Oryzias latipes: one gene and its partner. The protein of the gene in region 1 purifies or fractionates together with the protein of each later gene. This does not show direct contact. Links are inferred from orthologs where the notes say so. Each region holds a gene or a part of one and is shown on either strand. Other genes may lie near its edges. The genes, in order: araf and bag2.

Region 1 (3,920 bases):
CAACCATTTGACCAGGATTCTTTGAATTATTTTATGAACAATAAATGCAAATGGATATTTTATTGCAATGGGATACTTGTCAATTCAAACTAATGTTTAACAAAAATCACAATTTTTTGCTTGTCTTGTATGGTATCCCCTCTTTCTATTGACCAGCTACTCTTGAAATATCAGGCAGACACTGTTGTCTCATGTTTCGCTGAAAAAATCTGCCGGTTTCCACTTGTCCTGGAGGAAGTGGCCCTCACTGTCAACTTTGCTTTTTTATTTCCTGGTGGCATTTCAGAAATGAGCTAGAAAGTTTCACAGAGGGGTTGCACGACAGGTTAACAAAGGTTTAAAATATCAACCACAATCAAGAAATCATACACGGGTTCTAGAAAAGGCGGGGGGCCACATATTATTGATTTATGAAAGGAGCCTGCGGGCCGGTTCATATTTGAATGCGGGCTGCATTTGGCCCATGGGCCGCACTTTGGACATGCCTGATTGAAAGGGATTGTGTTTGGGAAAATGTGGGGTTGAAGTCGTGCTAAAACATACAATGTCTAACAACCTGGCAGTTTGAACCCTGGAGCAACCAATTGGTGCACAGTGCCAGTCCTGAGCTATTCATGTGCTGTGATAAATCTGGAAGGAAAAACTTGGGATGAAAGCAGAAAGTGCCTATTTATTCATAAAAATACAGATTAGAAAAAAATTGCTCTATAAATTCAATAAGATTGTATCTATGTCTCTAAAACTTAAAATGATTACACTTAAGGAATTTTAAGTATTAACAAGTTTGATCGCAATTATTTTTCTTAGATAAATGCCTGTGGGCCAGAGGGAGATTGAACTCGGGCTGAATTTAGCCCATGGGCCGGACTTTGGACACACCTGATCTAGAGCTATTTTCAAATCCGTTTCTGCATTTGGGAAAGGTTGAAGCCTTGCTATAACACACAATGAATATAACAGCCTGACAGTTGAACCCCTGAGCAAACAATTGGTAAACACAGATGAACCTACAAAGATGTACCTGCCTGCACAAGGAAACACTTTTGGGATAAAAGTGCAAAGTGACTGTTTTTCCCCTCATAAAAATCAGAATTAGAAATAAAATAAAAATTCATGGTAGGATTATATTTATGTCGCTAAAACTTGAAAACATGAGGCAATTTCAAGAATTAATTAAATTTATCGTTTTTCTATGTGTTTTTCATTGGTAAAAAAACTTTTTGAAAAAAAAACCCATCTCATGTTGCATAAGCAGATGTTGAAAATCTTGCGCGGGATTTGCACCCTCATTCTGTGCTGATGCTAACAATCACTCGTTTACGTGACAAGTCAGTTCGCAGCGCCCACCTCTCAACACCCGCAGGTGTCCTTGTCCAATCGGAGGACGCGGCTGCTGGAATCAGCCAATCAGGAGGCAGCGCCGCGGAGTTTTTCCGCTTTCCCGAACTTCTTGACAGACTTCAGATTGAGACAATTCAAGATGGCTGCTTCAGGTGAGACCGAACTTTTGGATGTGAACTGCTCCAAAACACCGTGAAGTGAGTCGGCCGGGTCTTCGCCGTGGCGCGGCGGCTTGGATGGGTGCGGGCCTGTCAGCTGAGCGAGTGTTGGTTACAGTAAGCGGCGCTAATGGGAGCTTCTGAACCGACTCCGCGGTTACACCCGCAGGTTAGCTAACATTAGCCGCCTAGCATCAGAGCGGCTCGCGGTGAAGTGTGTGCGGCAGCGGGATTATCTCCTTCCGCTCCTGGAGCTCTGCAGCTTTCAGAGCGGACACAGCAGAGTCCCCCACTCAGGTTAGATTGCTATAATGTCATAGAAGTTTCCAGGGCGTCACTTTTGACCTCCGCGAGACCCGTAACAAACTTATTTGGCTAGTTAGCTGAAGTGGTAACGGGCGCCTCGGCTTAAACATGGCCTCCCAACTGAAAGTGTGTGGCTGCTCAGAGGCTGCGCCGCTGCGGCCGAGGGGGAAACGTGAAGCGCCTGAGCGGCCGGGATGCGGCGGTACACGGTACCGTGGGTCTCTCCCAAAGGTTCTGACAGAAACCCAGCTGCGTCTTACCCGAGTTCGGCTCTGTCACTCAGACGGAGCCCTGTGCGCCTAAAAAACCCGAGTATATTCCCAGAGATTTTCTCTTGATTATGGATTCTGGTTGAACGAGTTCGGTTGGTTGATCCAAACCCACTTACATGTATATTAATATTATTGGTTTGCTTCATTTTTAGGCATTTATGTGGTTAAGGCAATATTTTCTATTTACTTCTGACACAAAGTAAACAAAACAAATGCATGTAACAAATCAGTTTAAAAAAGGTTTGGTTTCTTTATGTTAAAATAATCCACATTTTTTATTAGTTATCATAAAACCTTTTTCCTTTTTAAAACCACACCAATGAAAATGAAGATATTGGTGTTTCAGAAGAGTTTGTTGCATTTTCTTTCCTAACATTGTAGAACATATATTAAGAAAATTTAAGATTTTAATAACTTTTCTGAATATTACTTTATTCACATAATTGTGAATCAGGAGTAGACATAAAAAAGTTGGAAAAAGCTTTAAATCTGTCGTAGGAGTTAAAACTGCAAGTTCCCTGCTCCGCATCCACTTCTACACAAACAGACCCATGAACGTCTCCGTTTTTCTCGTCTGAGCCGGAATCTGGACCTAAACTGTACGACTGGATAGCTCCGATATTGCTCGCCATTTTTGTTGCACCGAAAATCCTAATTTGGGGGTATGGGGGGCTGTACGCCAGCGGGCGAGAGTTTTTTTTATTTTGGCTAAAAACGGCATAATCATGATTGAAAGACCACTGGGAACGCTTATACAAAATCAATCAGAAGGTGACTGTAGTGGGGCTTTAAATACATTTCTGCATGACTACAAAGCATTTTTTATTTCTATGAAGAAGCATTCAGACTTTAAAGTTTCATTAAATCACTGTGTACTCAAGGTTTGAACGTCCTGCACTCTTGTTACATTTTGTGTCTGTGCGTTTGCAGGTTCTGAGTGAAGGGCTTCTCTGGATCCCACCTGTGCATGCTGCAGCTCTCCTGAGGTTGCAGTTTGAGTGCTGCCCCCCCACCCCCACCCCCAGCTCCACCTGCCTCTCATCATGTCCTCCACCTCCTCTTCATACTCCTCCTCAGGGGAGACCAGTCCGGAGGATGTGCCTCGGGGCGGGGGTACCATCCGAGTCTACCTCCCCAACAAACAGAGGACAGTGGTGAGGCGACTGCGCATGCACTGGTTCTAATGTGTTTAAAAACGTATCTGTAGCACATCTATGAACATTCATTCATCCACGTGGTTCTGCAGCAGAAACGGTTCTAAAAAGAGTCAGTTTTTTCAAGTTGAAGACGTTTAGCCTCTGATCCAAGAGACTTGCCTAACTCTGAACTCCTTTTCTGTTGTCGCTTTTAACATGAAAAACTGCATTTTTCTCTGATAATAGATGTGTGAATGTTTACAGTAGAGGCTAGAAACTGAAGCTAAAGCACCAAAGAAAATTAGGCATGCCGAAGAAAGATGATGAATGCAAAAACCTGCAAAATTGGTTGGAAATATGGCTAAAATGTTGAATTCAATGTTGAATTAATCTGACAGATCTTTTTTTTTATGAATTTGTTCACTAAAAAATTGAAATGAGAGAAACGAGCCTAAAAAGGAAAACATGTTTTGATATTAAAAAACTATATAAATACTGAAAAAAACAAAACATATAATCCTAGTTACCAAGGTAAATAGCAATGTATTATTAATACATGTAAGGGATAATGCCTGACAAAGTGTCCACTATCAAAAATTATCTGATGTGAACTGTTGCGTCAGACGGTTAGTTATCAATTGATTGGTTTGTTTTTAATGTATCTAGGTATGAATATAATTTAAAAAATACTTCTTATGATCTATTTA
Region 2 (3,920 bases), on another chromosome or scaffold:
AGCACTGAATTGCTGCAAAATGTGCTCAAAATTATATATTGTCTTCAAAAGGTTGAACTTCAATCTGTGATGCATCTGTATTTGTTCTTTCTTGGGCTTATTGATGAACATACATTGTGAACTGTGTGCCCTTTAGCTATGTCGGTGTAGTAAAATTTAAAGTAAAAATTGACCTTTTTACAAAAAAAATGTGTACCAGTGTACTTTTCAGGGTTGGTTACAATGCATGGATCCCTAAGAGTCATGCTTGTGCAGCTCTCCTTTGTGAGGTAAAGTGGAATTCAAAAACACCCTTCATGCTTTGGTGATGATTATTAACTACTGCAGTTGGTTTTTGCACTCTCCAGTTTTTGATGATCCATAATTTTGATGTTCTTTTCAGCGTTTTCCACATTCCTCACCAGCGTCTCCAGCCTCTGTTTGATCTTCTTCTGGTCCTCCAAAGAGCAGCTGATCACCACAACCTGGAACTTCTGATCGATGGGGACAGGCGGTGCTTCGGTCACGCAGGCGGCGTGCAGCGCCATCAGCTGCTGCCGACCGCCTTCCATGTCGACCAGCAACTTTTTTACGATTTCGTCAATCATGGATGTGGCTTTCCGCAGGGCCTCCTCCTGCTGGGGGTTTCTAATGGTGCCAACGGAGATCTCCACCGTCAGAGTCCGGCCCATCAGACGGTTCGCAGTTAAGCTCAACTCTTCCCTTTCTCCTGCAGAAGAAAAGGAAATTAGAGCTTTAATTTGTCATAAAAAATATTATTATTAACCTGTTTTTGACTCATTTCATTTATTTTGATGTATTTTATGTTAATAAATCGTCTTTTGATCTATTTCCAAAGTGTTCCGAGTGGTTTTGTAATTATAGTTATACCATTTTTAGCCCAAATAAAAAAATCCTGTGTCATTTTCTAGGACATAATTTCTGCAGAGCGGCAGGAATTCATTAGAAATCTGCCTCTAAGTTGTAGGTGGGGCCGTAGGCGTGGAGTAAGCCCACCCTTGCTTCCGGACATCTATGTGTTTAAACGCTCTCCTGCAAATTTACAGCCCTTTATAACCCCAACGTAACATTACTGATGCAACTCAAATGGCCTGCAAGAATGGAGATATCCATCCGTCCAGCTTTGAGCCGGAAGCCAACTCGGATGAGGAAAACAAAAGACCTACATGGATCTATTTGTCCGCAAGTGGATGCATCAGAATGGAGCAGAGAAGAGCAGGACGTTTGTGGTCTGCTGTATTAGCTTCTACGTCAAACCTACAAGCTTTTTCAAATGGCATTTTTGCTTTTGCAATTTGAATAAAGAAATACACCGAAATGGAAATATGAGCTGAATTTTCTTTCTATATGTCCTGCATTTTGAGAAAAACACCACAACAACATGTTAAAAACACCAAAAACACAATTTTCCTGAGTGGGTCTTTAAGATTTGATATAGGGGCAGAAATATAACAAGAATTTCATTTTTTTTGTTCCTTTCTATTCATGAAAATGTGTGGACTTATGTTGAATATGTAAATATAATATGGTACCATGAAAAGAACAGAATTTTTCTTTCTACTTATACCATGAAAAAAAGTTTATATCTTGTAGTAAACTTGCTATGTTGGACTCAGAAGTATAGTGTGTTCCTTTTAGAGGGTTTAATAGAAAGACACAGAGGTGAAATGGGACCTCTATGGGTGAGACATGTGATGCATTTTGGGTGGAGCACATTGTTCTTTTCAGTTTCTTGACCATCACGCAAAGTTTTCCTTTTATCACCACAGGATCAAAGTAGCAAAAAACAGGAATTAAGATTACTGGAAAGTTAAGCCACTCTTCACTGGTATTAAGCAGCGGATGACTTGTGCTCTTATGTAAGTTGTGGGAGAGAATTAGCAGCCTCACCCGCACAGATGTTACGCATTTCTTGACTGTTCTGGATGGATTGAATCATTTCCAGGATGCCTTCTCTTTCCTGCTCCAGGGCGGATGCTGTTTCTCTTAAAGCCTCCACCCTGACAAAAACAAACATCCGTCAAAAAAAAACAGCTTTTCTTTTTCCTTCCAATCACGTTCAGTTGTTAAAGTTACGCCACAGTGTCAAACGAACGAGAGCACCTCCAAAGAAGACGCGCATGGCGAGGCCCGTTATTGTACCTGATTTCCAGCTGATCCAGAGTTTCCAGCAGTCTTCCGGAGCGATCAGCCATGGACAGTGTCCTGCTGAACTTGCTGCAGACCGCTTCGTTCATCTTCGCCTGGATTTTCGCCTGAGCCATAATAATTAGTGCTGCAGTGCCGAGTTTCTGTAGTCCGATCAGTCAATCCAAAGAGTGAGCGGCGCTTTAAGCTCTCCGCCTGACCAGTAATTCCTCAGGCTACAGGCAGCAGCGCCCCTGGGACAACATTTCCTAACATGGGCTTCAGCTTCCTCCTCTTCCTCCTCCTCACAGAAACTTCCCGAGGAACCCAGAGAGGAGGCTCCAACCCAGACAGGGGGCTCCAACAGGGGGCTCTGAGTGAGGAGCGCTTTAGCTTTAAAATGCTTTATTTGAATTTCCATAAAACAACAGATTTTATTTTACACAAGATTTTATATCTGGGAGATAAAAGGGAACAGGGGGAGAGAAAGCTTATTTTTTCTGGAACTTTTATATAATTAGGAGGCAAAAAAACAATTGTCATAAATTGATTAGAAAATAAAAATAAACTAAAAGACGAATACATCAAGTAAATATAAAATAATAGTATTGTCCAATAACTGTTTTCTGCATGATTTGAATAATATTTTTGCAGAGTTCATACAGGTTTGTTAAACATGACATTTGCAACTCTCATCAATTTGTACAAGTGGCACTTTTTCATCATTTTAGTTAAAAGAAAAAAGCAAAGACACAATGTAACAAAACCACCTTTAGGGGGCGCTGATGAGGTGACAGGTGCTTGTTACCATTATCTCTATTGCTTCAAGCCACAAAGATAGATTCCATCTATTTTACCAACCAACAGGTCTCCAAACTGTTTTTTTTTTCTGTTCTCCGAACAAAATAATCAAATGTAACATTCAATGACCAAACGTCATGCTCCGTTATTATATCTTTATTAAAGAAAAATATTTTCACAGAGAGTACTTTTTAGGAAAACCGTTCTGTCCCTGTTATTCACTCACACTTTTACACAAAAAACCTTTTTCTTTAAGTTGAACTCATGTAATGATGTTTCATACAAACTTTTCTGTAGAAAAAATACAATTTCTGCTCATTCATTTCTGACGTCTGAGCAGCCGGTAAAGAGAATCCTCACGTCTGTAGTGAAACCAGAGAGGTGGAGGAGCGGTTGGTCTGCGGTCACGAGGTCAGCCCAGGCATCTAGCTGTGTCACCACAATCCTGTGTGTGTGTGTGTGTGTGTGTGTGTGAACACGTGACACATAGCTTCAATGTTTAGAACGTCTGACTTTTTATAAACCCTCAGCTTCTAACTAGCTTTAAAACCCACTGTCTGCCCCAAGAACTGCTGACTTTGGCTGCTAAAGGAAGTAAATCAATTCAAATAATTCATGACTTTTATTTATAACTTCTGAAAACAATGACCTTGAGTAAAAAAGGTCAACGTGACAGGTGAACAACAGGAACTACTTCATTTAGAAAGCACTTAGAACTCCACAAGACTTCTCTGAAGAGCTTCCTCCAACTCTGCGGGAAAGAAAAACAAGAAAAAAAAAAAAGTTGAAAATGACACTCCATTATAAAACAACATAAAAACAGCAGAGGCCATTTTAAAGACCCACTCCGATCATCTTTGAAGCTATTTTCAAAGTGATCTTTTAATCCCGTTTATGCTGCTTTTAGTCAAAATACAAAAAAAGCCTGTGTTGTTTTTCTTAGGACATAGTTTCTGCAGAGCTGAATTGTGGGCGGGACCACTGGCACGGAG

What was found.
Region 2: the proteins of araf (region 1) and bag2 purify together in Homo sapiens (affinity purification with mass spectrometry; 3 studies listed by BioGRID and IntAct, with this or other methods). This does not show direct contact. The link is inferred for Oryzias latipes from reciprocal best matches to the Homo sapiens genes ARAF and BAG2.

Annotation. Positions count from the first base shown.
Region 1 is NC_019867.2:28,405,958-28,409,877, forward strand, and holds the start of araf (serine/threonine-protein kinase A-Raf), read left to right. Parts: upstream 1-1,377; 5' UTR 1,378-1,493; intron 1,494-1,530; exon of another isoform or gene 1,531-1,796; intron 1,797-3,007; 5' UTR 3,008-3,120; coding exon 3,121-3,231; intron 3,232-3,920. UniProt on the Homo sapiens protein: Involved in the transduction of mitogenic signals from the cell membrane to the nucleus. May also regulate the TOR signaling cascade. Phosphorylates PFKFB2.
Region 2 is NC_019873.2:24,430,416-24,434,335, reverse strand, and holds the start of bag2 (BAG family molecular chaperone regulator 2), read right to left. Parts: upstream 2,419-3,920; 5' UTR 2,265-2,418; coding exon 2,143-2,264; intron 2,001-2,142; coding exon 1,891-2,000; intron 710-1,890; coding exon 315-709; 3' UTR 1-314. Other genes in the region: E3 SUMO-protein ligase ZNF451, read right to left, coding at 3,639-3,679. UniProt on the Homo sapiens protein: Co-chaperone for HSP70 and HSC70 chaperone proteins. Acts as a nucleotide-exchange factor (NEF) promoting the release of ADP from the HSP70 and HSC70 proteins thereby triggering client/substrate protein release.